3 linked regions of the Nothobranchius furzeri genome follow. The protein of the gene in region 3 interacts with the protein of the main gene of each other region in a pairwise test. Links are inferred from orthologs where the notes say so. Each region holds a gene or a part of one and is shown on either strand. Other genes may lie near its edges.

What was found.
Region 1: the proteins of lin7a (region 3) and protein PALS2 interact in binary tests that used the Homo sapiens proteins (3 or more experiments, as listed by UniProt). The link is inferred for Nothobranchius furzeri from reciprocal best matches to the Homo sapiens genes LIN7A and PALS2.
Region 2: the proteins of lin7a (region 3) and pals1b interact in binary tests that used the Homo sapiens proteins (3 or more experiments, as listed by UniProt). The two-hybrid records come from large-scale screens. The link is inferred for Nothobranchius furzeri from reciprocal best matches to the Homo sapiens genes LIN7A and PALS1.

What each region holds. Positions count from the first base shown.
Region 1 is NC_091745.1:83,010,258-83,014,704, forward strand, and holds the start of protein PALS2, read left to right. Parts: upstream 1-1,647; 5' UTR 1,648-2,019; intron 2,020-4,214; exon of another isoform or gene 4,215-4,219; 5' UTR 4,220-4,267; intron 4,268-4,447.
Region 2 is NC_091742.1:8,458,351-8,462,799, forward strand, and holds the start of pals1b (MAGUK p55 subfamily member 5b), read right to left. Parts: upstream 2,827-4,449; 5' UTR 2,636-2,826; intron 615-2,635; 5' UTR 461-614; coding exon 133-460; intron 1-132. UniProt on the Homo sapiens protein: Plays a role in tight junction biogenesis and in the establishment of cell polarity in epithelial cells.
Region 3 is NC_091741.1:40,970,935-40,974,583, forward strand, and holds part of lin7a (protein lin-7 homolog A), read right to left. Parts: intron 451-3,649; coding exon 241-450; intron 18-240; coding exon 1-17. UniProt on the Homo sapiens protein: Plays a role in establishing and maintaining the asymmetric distribution of channels and receptors at the plasma membrane of polarized cells.

The sequences.
Region 1 (4,447 bases), on a different chromosome or scaffold from region 3:
CAAGTTCTAGGAATTGAAAAAATGCCAACCAGTTTTCAGCAAGAACCAGTTTTTGATCCCCAACCAAAGCTATCAGGGAAAAAGTAATCCATTGATGGAATAACCTGGTCATTCAGTATATTCAGGTAGTCATCTGACCTCATTCTTGGAGCACATCCTGTTGCTGAACCTAGACCTGACCAACTGCAGCCACCCCAGATCATAGCACTGCCCCCCACATGCGTGTAGGTAATAGGCATGATTACTTTTGGAAAATGTACCCAAACATTAGTTGTTGTTTTTTTTAGCTTTTTGCATGCATCACTTCATTTGCCTCTCTTCTTGCTCTGCATTTTTAAAATTTATTTTATTTTATGAGGATTTTGAATAATTTTTTAGCCTTTTTCATTTTGTAAATTTTTGTTCTTGTGAATGGCCTTGTGATTTTTCCCATGAGAGTTGCTACATTAAGAGATCTTTTCTTCTTCTTCACTATCCTTCCAGTTTTTAATAATGCGTCGGACAGTTCTTAACTCATTTTTAATAGTTTCTAGTATGACCTGCCAGACTCTCCCACTGTCTGTTCTACACAGACATTGACATGGCTAGCCAGGCTAAGTTTCTGCAATCTCCTTAGATGTTTTGGCTGCCTGATGCATCCCAATTATTTGGCCCTTCTCAAACAGACACTTTCCATAACCATGAGATGTGTCTCCACATGGTTGTTTAAGAAACCAGAAGCAACTATTTGCACCCAGTTGGAGTTAAATAACTTGTTGCCAGGTAAAAGATAATCGCCTATGCAGTGATTGTTTAGTAAATCCAGGTGGCAATTTTTTTATGGCCAGGCAGCGTACAAGCGTCCTCTGCTGGAAATTGTACACCATCACACATTTAAGGACATGAAACAATTCTAAATCAGTGCTCACTCAGAATTTTGTTTGAATACAACAAAATTGTTTAATTTGCAAATTGATTTCAATTAGATTAGCAGGTTAAATGTTATGTTATGATCTGTAAAATGCAAAACGAATAATGCAGTTCAATACAAGCTCACTATATTAGAGATGAATAGGTTCTTTGTTTTTAATTAGTTATTTGGACTATTACAATGGTGCATATATACATTAAATTAAATAAGATATGTAAAGTATGTGTAGTCTTATAAACAGACAAAACACGTCACTATAGAGATTGAAAGTGACCACTGTAAACTGTGCTTCTCATCACTGCATCTACAAAATATCGGTAACACTCTTTCTAGATGTCATTAATGCTGTGTTCTGAAAAGGGTAAGGGACCATCTGGCTTGTTATCAGCACAGTTCAAAGGCCAGCTTTGGAAACAAAAACACGTGAGTGAACTTTAGTGCACATGGGTAGCAGCAAATGTAGATCTGTCAATAGCACCTTCAGAGCAACGTATGTTTAGCCTGGCAAGCCAGACTAAATAATAATAATAATAATAATTATTATTATTATTATTATTATACTTCTTGTTATTATTATTGCAATTTATTATCATTTAATTTTTGCAAGGCAAGATTGTGATCTAGTTCACTAGGCTAGGCTGCCATACCAGTGTAGTTTCTTTTGTGGAAGTATTACCCATCCTAGTGTGTGTGTGTGTGTGTGTGTGTGTGTGTGTGTGTGTGTGTGTGTGTGTGTGTGTGTGTGTGTGTGTGTGTGTGTGTGTGTGTGTTAAATGACAGCGTCGCCAATCGATACTGCCTGTGGTTTTAAAATACACACACGCTACATAATCTGCATTTAGATTAATAAAAATAATATCTCAGCCTTTAGTTCTTGGAAACAAAGTTATAAACCAGCCCGATAATAATCCTGAACGACATTTGGTGTGTGTGAGCTAGATTTAACCCGGAGCTGAGTGACATGTGCGCTGCTTCCACCTCTGTGTGGACAGACGGAGACGCGACTGGACATGCATGTACAAGTGACTGCTGCTGGATATTCGCGGATTATGATGGACTGAGATCAGGGAAAATGGAAGCGTGACTGGATGCTGATTACAAGACGCCAGGTAGCGAATCATTAATAAAAATGTAACGGTCTCATCGAGGAGCTTCTCTTGAGTCTCGGCTTTCACTAATGTTAGCCACGAGCAAACTAGCTTCACCAGTTAGCTAATTTTATCCCGCTGTTTTAGCCCCGCTGCTGGGATCACGCTAGCTCCACTGGCTCTTTAGTTTAAGCTGATGATCTGATTTGAAGTGCGAGCGAAAGTTTGAGATCGCTCGGCTGAAACAGGTCCTACAACGCTCGGCATAGCACAAGTAGCTAGCGGTACATTTTTAGCATAGCTAACATGCAGGCATGTGTGCTAGGACTGATTTAGGACGCGCTGTGGTTAAATAATGCCGAAGAAGACCTGACATCACACAGTTCGAGTCGTAGACTTCAAATCATTTCTGGTTCGTGTTCACTTACATTAAAACGAATGTTTTCACAGTAAATTTGCCATTAACGGCTAGTTATGTTGTCTACACGTGCGCTGTGCGTGTGTCGCGAGCTCGTCATGACAGCAGGTTTGATTCATTCTGAGACCATGTTGACATTTAGTCTGATTTCTTTAATTTTCCACACAACTATATACTAAAACATCGAGCCCGTACATGTAAACTAGCTTTGAGCTCGTTATAACTAACTTTCCCGAGCCCGACCGAAATAATGCGTCTCACTCAGTGGGTGTTCAGACGTTTTTATCATTTCAGCTTTTTATTAGAACTAGGGCTGCCACAAACGACTATTTTATTAGTCGACTAGTCGCCAGTTTGGTAACGGTTAGTTGCGACTAATCGTGTCATTCATAAAAGTATAGCTTGTTGTACCAGGATGCTGTATGTGTGATCAGTTATGTGCCATCTAATAATAAAGATAATAGCATTCAGTGAATTTTGTTGCAACAATGTCAAACAGATCAGACGTAAGCAACTAAAAACTAAAATACAAAAAAGACTTGAGCTCACATGAAATGTATCCAGCTGCTAAATAATCACACAAGGTCCCGGTTTACACTCAGGAAAGTTAGCATTTCCACATGTTCAGGAGAAAGGCTTGCTCTCTTCTGAGAGCAGATGTCCCCAGCTGCAGAGAAGATCCGCTCAGATGGCGTTGAAGTGGCAGGGATGCACAGAAACTTGAGCTGGAGTGTGCATCCAGCACACCGGATAGAGGCCCATCCATGTTTCTCTTCAAGCAGTCTCATTGCTACCACCATATTTGACCCACTGTTATGAACTACTGCTTTTATTTTAACAGGCATGATTTCACACTTAGCTAAAGCCTCTTCTATCCAAGTCATTATATTTGTGCCTCTCTTCTAGAGGCATGGTGGCAAGTTTGAAGCTTTACATGTTCCAGTCTTTGCAGGCGAGATTTTAAAAATGCTCATACAAAAAACGACGCGTTGACTATTAAATCGTCGACCTTTTTTTTTGTCAACATCGTCGTGACGCGTCGACTAGTCGTGGCAGCCCTACAACTCTGGGTAACTTTATATGGATTCTGTCCAGTGATGCTAGCTGGCCCCAACATCAGTTTGTGCTTTCAAATATAAGAGAGTAGGTTAGTCGTAAAGGAAATGTCTTATCACCCGGACATGTCTAAGAAATTACTAAAGAGAAAAACTAACAAACACATGTAAACAAAGGGCCAAAATTTCTTATTTAAAACAGGTTTTCTTTTGTTTAGGACCTGTTGATGCCTAGAAACATTCATATATTAGAGGTATGAAGACAAACATTTTCAAAAAATACCAGAAAATGGAGTAAAAGTGGTGAAAAACGCTTCCAAAACCCAAAGACATTTAGAAAATCTTTAAAAATACTGAAGAAATGTTGCTGAATTGGAAGTAAAAAAAAATGAAACCAAGAGGGTCTGACTGAAGACTTTAGCACACAGAAAATGACCCTCCACACATGCTCATTTGATCACATGTGAAGGGAAAGAATGTTTTAGTCATTAAAAAGGAAAATGACAAAACTGCCAACATGACAGGAGCTGAGTGCTCACAGCATTTCACTAACCCTAAAAGAACATCTGCCTTACGTTTCTGTTGGCATACTTGAAACAAGACAGTCACCCTAACACAACACTAAATACATGAGATGTTGCTTCAGCTCTGTAGGAAAGGAAACATGAACATGACCAGCTTCTGAGTTACTGAGGACATTTAAAACAAAACTAACTGGATCTCCTCATCTTGTGTTCATGAAGAGTAGAAAAGATGGGACTCAGCGCTGCACTGATGATTTAATCACAGTTAGTAGGTAAGTTCTCATAATTCGTGCCTATAATTTAGATGTTTTGGTTGACTCCTGTGGTGACTAGCATTTAGTATGTTCACACAGTTTATATGTAATGATTCTACACAAACTATCATGTGTTGGCTGTTCTTGCTACAGTAGATGTGTTTTTTTTCCTGTTTGGAGAGTGTGTTTGTACAGTGA
Region 2 (4,449 bases), on a different chromosome or scaffold from region 3:
CTGGTAGGGCGCGACTTGCTCTTTAAAAAACCTCACAAGTCTATTCCTCCCTGAGGGCTGCGTTGCTCCTTCTCTTCTTCCGTTTAACCTCCTTGAGCCTTTGCCAGCACCCACTTCCTCCACTGAACTCACCAACAACAGGACCCAGACAGGCCGCATCTTCGGAAGCCTTTTCCTTCCTCTCAAAGGTGGGATTGTCAGTGCCAACTTTTTGGTTCTGCGACAGCTTTTTGAGCCTCAGAGAGGCGTTTGGATCAATGTCATGTTTCCCCTTGTTGTCCTCCTCTCTCCTCCTCCTCAGCTCCTCTTGGTAATATTGGATCCTCTCCATGTGGGCACTGCAGTGAGGGGATTTGACAAGGCTGCTTTCCTGCCCCGGACAGTCCACAGCCCTCTCTCTGTGGCTCATGGCCTGACCAGAGGCCTCTTGCACATAACCGTTCATATGGGATGTTATCATCCCTGTTGCTGCGGCGTACAGTTCAAACCACCCCAGGGTTTCCTGAGGTCTGCCAGAGCGTCACGAGAAGCTGCTGCTGGAAACTATCAGCTCAAGGGTCAAGGCACGCCATTGGAGGATGGAGTCCTCTGTGCCGGTTCAGTCATCGCTCCTCCTGATACAAAAACACAAATAAAAATAATTTGTTTTAGAAATGTTTTAACTTAAAATCATTCAATGTATTTTTTTTTTTAGTTTTTAAAACTTGAACTTCAGCAAAAATCTCAGACTGTATCAACAACTATTGAAAAAAGGTTAAGGGATTTGTTTGGGCGTGCTATCCTTCTGCTCACTCAGCAGACTTTGTTCATAGTCTCACACAACATCAATGTCAAACTCACAAACTACCTGGGGCTTCGCTAAAACACATAATCTGGCTGCGTGTCGATCAGGACAAACTTTTACTCCTTTCCACTCTCGTCCGTCTCTCCACTAATCTAATTTCTAACATGGAGAGCTTTCAGGATTCGGTCACCTTAAATCCCTTCTACACAGCCTCATCCAGGCTCACCTGTCCACCAGAACACCTCAGCCAAAATATAGCTTGTTGCTTGTGTTGATACTCAAATAAAGCACAAATCTGTTCAGCATATCTTGGAAGCGGAGTTCACCTTCATAATTTTAAATAATTTGATTCTACTTAATGTTTTGTTTACTGTATTTGCTAATTGATATGGATTTCTGAATAATTTTACATTTTGTACCTTGTGAAACAAAAATAAACTGACTCGACTTGAGTATATTAGGTGAATTAAAAAAATTAAAACTGAAAATGGCACATAGATATGCATTACCACCTGGGTAATGTTGTGAATGTTGTAGATTAAGATCTATTCTGTTGATGTTATAATCTGGATTTGATGGTATGACGTGCCTCAAAGTGGAAATTTTCTAATAGAAAATCCTGTTCGAAAACAGTAAAAGGATTAAAAGCCGAGTTGTTTTTGCACATTATTAAAGTAAAATTTTTGATATTTGTGTCATTAATGATTGTATCGCTCTTATTTAAAAAATTTTTGCCCTTCTTTGCAAATCAAATTGCCACAGATTGAAAATGAGAATCAAACACATGCACATTGTCCTTGAAAGCCACGTTTGACATTCCTGTGTCAAAGTCAGTCGTGTCCCCTACAATTAACTGGCAGCAACTCTCCACAGCTAATCACGGCTGGCAGGTCCACTCCTCCTAAACCCTCCCCTCCAGAACCATTTAGTTGTGTTTAGTGTAGCAGGGTACTGCTGAGGAGCAGCAGAGACTGCCAGCAGACCATCTGTTCCCGTGGGCTTAATTAAGCTTGAGATCTCATGCTCTGCTGCTGCTAACTGGTTGAAGCAGTTCTGAGAAGGATGCAGGGTAGAGAGTGGCGCCTGGGTACAGAAGTGAGGATGAGAGGAAGTGCACAAACCAAACAAGGTGATACAAAGAAACTGGCTCCGCTTTGTGGCCTCAAATTCAGCCCTCTGCATTTTATATATTATATATGACCAAACAAATCAGTAAAGCACATTTTCTTACATAAATTGAGATACTTGTCTTACTCTCACCATCCTCTCGTGTTTGACAATGTGCATAAAGTCATATTGTGTCAAAAACATATTTTTAAACAGTAGAGCAGATTATTACGTACACAGATATTTGTTTAGTGAAATAAAACATAAAATATGACTATAAACACTAGAAAAATAGTTTTTTTCCCGACTTGGACATTGCTCAACCCGTGTGGTGACACAAATACATTATTTTTTTAAGTTTTCCCCACGTTTGAACGTTCAAGTTATATTTAAATTATCAAGCAACGCTAATCACATGTTTAATAAACTTGAATGCTTCCTTTATTAGAAATAGTGCCCAAACAGCTAGAGGCTAGTTGGGGTAAACTATTTTAAGTCGATTCAAGGAAACACTAAAGACAGCAGTGACATAAAAACGTGTTCGAATAGTTTTGCAAAGTAAGTTAAACTTTCATACAAACCAACTCTGTAGAATAACAAAAGTTTTTCACTTAAAAACAAAGTTTCTGGTTTTATCGTCGGTGTTTAACACCAACCGAAGCGCCCAATTTAGCTCAGAGACTAGCGGCACATCGCTGCTAAGCTAACAGCATAGCCGTCCCGTTACAGAGAGCCTCTACTCACCACTTCAAAACCAGCGATGAGTCCGAGTTTCGGGAGCAGGAAGCGGCTCTTTTAAAATAAAATCTCCGGAGAACATCCGAGCAGCTCGTGAATGAGAAACTTGCCGTCTTCTCCCTAGGAACGCGTTCAGCGGTTGTTGAGTTTTGTCCAAGCGCAGTCGGGACACTTCTGAACTGCGCCACCGGTTGTTTTCAATCGTTTCCTTGGCAACACTGCAGCTCTACAGCGCCATCTTTCCGACAGACACGTAACGACAATGTCGTAAATAACAATACTATGTAAAACATTGAATAAGGCGGATTAAAATAGACACTCAGAGTTTATGAATTTAGACTTTTACCAAAAAAATCAATTTTAAATATATACCTGTAGAACAATTAATTATAATGATTAATTTCGTTATTTTATTTACTGTAAACTCCATTGTAATTATTCAACGGTGCCATAAGGTCACAATTAACTAAAAAAAAAAGCATTAAGAACATCCGGCAAGCATAATCAGATAAATTAAATTATAAGTACCCAAATCAGCACTACACCAAATCATAATTCCAACAGTGATGAGACTTACATGTTTGCATTTTTTAACATTCTAGCTAAGGTATATTTTTCTTGATGAAGCATATTTCAACACATGAAATCAAAATAGTTTAGAATAGCTTTTGTAATAGAACTGCAAATATCACTCCATTTGCAGATAAAAGCCACTAAAAAGAAAATTAGCGTAATATTTATTCAAAAGTGTGTCTGCCACACTTAGGCCATTGCATTAAAAAAACATTCTTAGGCAACATCACACAACTTGACAAGTTTGAAAAGGGTTTGAGAAAGGACTGGAGTGTCTACTGGATTCATCTTAGTTCACATCTTCCCACCTTTGCTCTGTGCATTTATACTTTTCCCGCAGGCACAGAAGGAGCTTCCAGTCCAGCTGAGACGTCATCTCTCCATGAAGAAATCCTGGAGCTATCACAAAGTGCCTCATTGCATCAACAGTGACCCCAACTCAATGATAAATTATACATGATATCCTCTAAACTATATTTATGGCACTGTTCTATGAATGGTACACAGTTTTATTGCAAGTCTTTACTGTTTCACACATTAAAATGACAGCGCAAGCCCTGTAGAGCAGAAAAATGTCTAATTTGACTTAATAAAGAGATTATATGAGGGACCTTGCAGATCACATGATGATCACCAGGAGAAGCCAGAGAGGTCTGAAATTTAGGGACAGGTTCACCAGAATTATGCATTTGTTGTGTCTATAGGTCATTTTTTGCAGATTCTAAAGTCTTTTTAGAATTATGTTCAAAACCCTAAATGTCCAAGCCCAATATTTAATCTGACATCACATGAAATCTAAACTTTCAGAGCAAAAGGTTGACCTCAGAGGTTACAAGTCAGAGCATTTAATTATCACAAACAAGTCTGGATAAGGGAAATTTAAGCTTTTTGCATTTACGTTTAACTTCACTAATTTCTTTCAGAGAAATATATTTTAAATGTATTATTTTCTTGAGTAAAACTTGATATGTTTAGTTTTTGTGTTTTGATTAACTTGCAAATTGTTATAACCTAAAAACTAATCAAGTGTAACTTGATGAAGGAGCTATTCCTCCAAGGTTATTTAACCTTTTCCACAGTTCCCTTTGACACAGCGCCAGAGTGCATGAAACAGCCTCAAGATCTCAGTTCTCAAGATCCCATGAAGTTCACCGCATGTTAAGTGAAGTATGGACAGGCCATTCTGCACTTCTCTTTTTAAGCTGAAACCCATCAAGCTGGGAAAAATCTGTTGTTTTGTGAACCAA
Region 3 (3,649 bases):
TGTTCTCCTTCTACGCTCTGCAGGGCAGGAGAGAGAGAGAGAGAGAGAGAGTGAGAGAGAGAGGAAGTCATGGTGAGGAGATATTAATTCATTCATGATGATCAGATCAAAGGGAAAGCTTCTTACTCAGGATGAGAGCAACATTTCGACCTTCATACAGAAGCTCTGACTGCTGACTCACATATCAGACCTGAGATCAAACATCCTTCATTCTGCACGGTCTGGTTGGACGTCACCTACCACACCGTTGACAGACAACAGCTGATCCCCTCGCTTTAGGCCTCCATGCCTTTCAGCCACGCCTCCAGGAATGATGCGAGAGATGTAAATGGGGGAGTTCTGCTCCTTGCCACCCATCACGTTGAAGCCAAGCCCTTCCTCCGTCTTGGGAAGCTCAACCACCCGAGGGTGAGAGTGACCTTCGCTGGCTGCGAAGGCTGCAACCGTGGCCTGCAGAAAGAAAATTTGAAATTCCCTTCAAAGATCTTCCCTTTTTTTTTTTTTTTGCATTCAAACAAATATTACAAAGCGTCAGCACCGTCTTGTTTCTGCAAAGCGACAGAAATTAGTCAGGGCCGAGGATTTCGCCTCCATGTGAGAAGTTTCTGGTTCTCAGTGCGGATGGATTAACACATCCAAGTTCACACCGCTGGAGCAGCCAGACAGCTTTCCCTTCATTATCTCCACCAGCTGTGGGGTTTCTTTGAACCACAAGCTCAGAACAAAGCACCAAGGAGCTTTTAAAGCCCAGCTTAGGGAAGCTAATGGCAGACGAACAACGAAAGAGACACTCGGTTCCCACTTTTTTATAGATGTGCTTGCATCAAGTTAGCATCATTCATCAGAGATGATGCGGATCTAACATGGAAGGAGCTGTAACAGAGGAGAGTATGAAACCTTGCAGACGTGCATCCATTTTTCCTCAAGAAAATCCGACTCTGCCTCCAAGCGGCTCCTCTTTCTCAACATTCACATGACAAGTGCCCTTTCTCCTTCTTCTCTCCTCTGTTCTTTGCCCTCTCTTCTTCTGCTCGGTGTCTGACTGTAAAGGCGGCTCCTCAGCATGCATGCCGTCGCCTCACAGGCCTCGCAGCACATCGACCTTCACAACTTTATCTGGGTCTCTGCAAACAAAAACATCATCTGGCAGATGGCCGGCGCCTCTCAGACACAGGAGGGATTTGAAAATGAAAGGCTAGCTGGGGGAAACCACACACACTCTTCATGTGACGGCTCAGCATATCCAGTCACTTTATTATGTTTCCATTCTCTTGGTGGGAAATTGATTAAATTGGGGAGGCGATCAAAGCGCTAAAAGCAAATCTCGACTGTCAGGAGATTTAGCATCTCATTACTTAAAACACTTGAGAGGGAGATCAACTCAAACGTGATCAACGAAAGCTTAATTTTCACTCATTGCTTGGAGTGAAAAGGGTTTATTGAGGCTGTAACAATTCCGGGGTTTTCTAGTCCTCATTTTAAAGATGCACATTTTAAGAATGAAGTAAGAATGACATCCTGTGGCCAAACGTGGTTACTGCAGGCCACTTTTCTGAGCAAACTGTTACTTTACCCGTGACTCTGAGTGAGTTTCACGGCTGTCGGCAGTTACAGATCAGCATCAGAAGACGAGTGAAGACGAGATATCACAGTAAGTTGATAAGTGGAAAAATGCATTGTCACATCTGGTGTGACAATGACAAGGGAGCACTTACTACACTTACTACGGTAAAGTGTCCTCGGCAGTAGAGGAAGTTTAGTTGTTTGCCTTCTCGCTGTTAGCTCGCTGTTATAGTTCTGAACGACTCATTAAATGAAGAAAGACGCCACCGTTGACTCATAATTCACTTTACACACACGTCACTGTATTATTGAGATTTTGGTGATTGAAAAAGTACCTTGAGATGTTTTTACAGCCAACTAGTTGCCTCTAATTCCCTGTTACCATCGTTAGCTTAACATTAGCATCTGGACTACTTCACCAGATATTACAGTAAAACATAAATACGTCGTGGCTTATAAGGGTCCAAGAAATAACTTCTGGCTTGCTCCTGTTTACTGGCTTCAGTTCTTTAAATGACTGTAGAGTTTTTTGCCTGCTGGTGTTAGCTGCTAGCTCTCTGTAGATTCGGCAACCTCACTGATTGTAAGCAGTAGCTAGGCCCAGTGTTGCCAACTGTTTTGACTGAAACTAGCTGAAGTTACCCCCCAAAGTCGCTAGATGTCGCCAGATGACGTCACGCACTAACTTGCATACGACACAATGACGTCATCTGGTTTGCGTGATGATGTCACCACATTTGCGCATGACGTCACCGGTCTTGTAGAGTAAATCAAACAAAGCCCACGTGATTTTATTTTTAAAAAATTTAATTTTTTTTATATTTTATTAAAATAAAAACCCCATAGAATACAAAACAGCGGCCTTTAAAACATCAAGGAAAGATGGCACAAAAAATGGAAGGACTATTTTTATTTTGTCTGAAGAGAATGGAACTCGTAAACACAAAAATATTAAATTGATAGGAATGTATGTGTGATTGACTTAAAATGAATTTTCTCTTGTAGTTTTCAAGTGCCTTGAGATGTATTCTTCTGTTGTGATTCAGTGCTATATTTTGACCTAAAAGATAATATATATATATTTTGTTTTTGTTTGTTTTTGTTGTTTTTAGTACTTTTGTGTAGAAGCAGGCTGTATTTAGTATTCAGAAACGTTACATGCAAACTGCCAATGACCTGAGGTGTTTGTCTTGCAGTATTATTCTGTTTTTTTATAAAAGTTTTAAATGTGCTACGTTACTGAACTCATCATAGAGTTCCAATGTTCCTTGAATGCACCACAAGTGGTGCGAGAAGCCATGTGTGAGTGCGACGCTGTCTGCCAGTGCCAGGCGAGCTCAGCGGCCGAAGAGCGGTCGCCCTTTCTGTAGCTCCGGTGGCCATCTCAAATAATGGACTTGTGAAAACCCACGAAAGGTTTTATTGGTCAACGAGGGTAGCGTGATCATGCTGCACGCACACGCGCAGAACATTTTCTTTCTGATCCTCTGGAAGGAAGGACGGTCCTGTCGCTTCAGATGCATCGCTAATCTGCAGGTAAAGTCTGCTACAAAGTTGTAGTCAAAGCAGCTGAGGGGGGTCAGAAATGTCGCCCGATTTATCGCTAGGCGCTTTTTAGAAAAAAAGTCGTTAAGGGGGTCTGAAAAGTCGTTAGAAATGGCGACAAAGTCGTTAAGTTGGCAACACTGGCTAAGCCCCTCTTGTTTTTTTGAAAGGAGGAAAACTGACAACTTCCCAGCTGGCTGAGAAGGAACCTTCCTTCCCAAATGACTGAGACAATAAACAGTTTTAAATATTTTCTCAGTAGAATTTTCACATATTGCTCCTTTAAGCTAACCATGTCTGGGTTTCCTCCAAATTTTTGGAGTAGCAATTTCTTTTCAGACATCTGAAAAGATGTATTAGAAAGCGTTCATTTAACCACCTGTTTACTGTATGGTGCTCAGCCCGATTGCCTTTTTAATTGGTGACAAAAGAGCCCTTGAGCAGCTCTCGTCATCTGAAGCCCCATCCAATCAGAGAGTGACACAAAAACCCCACTTCCTTTGTTTTTGTCATCCTATCCTCCACCCACCCTTCATGATGA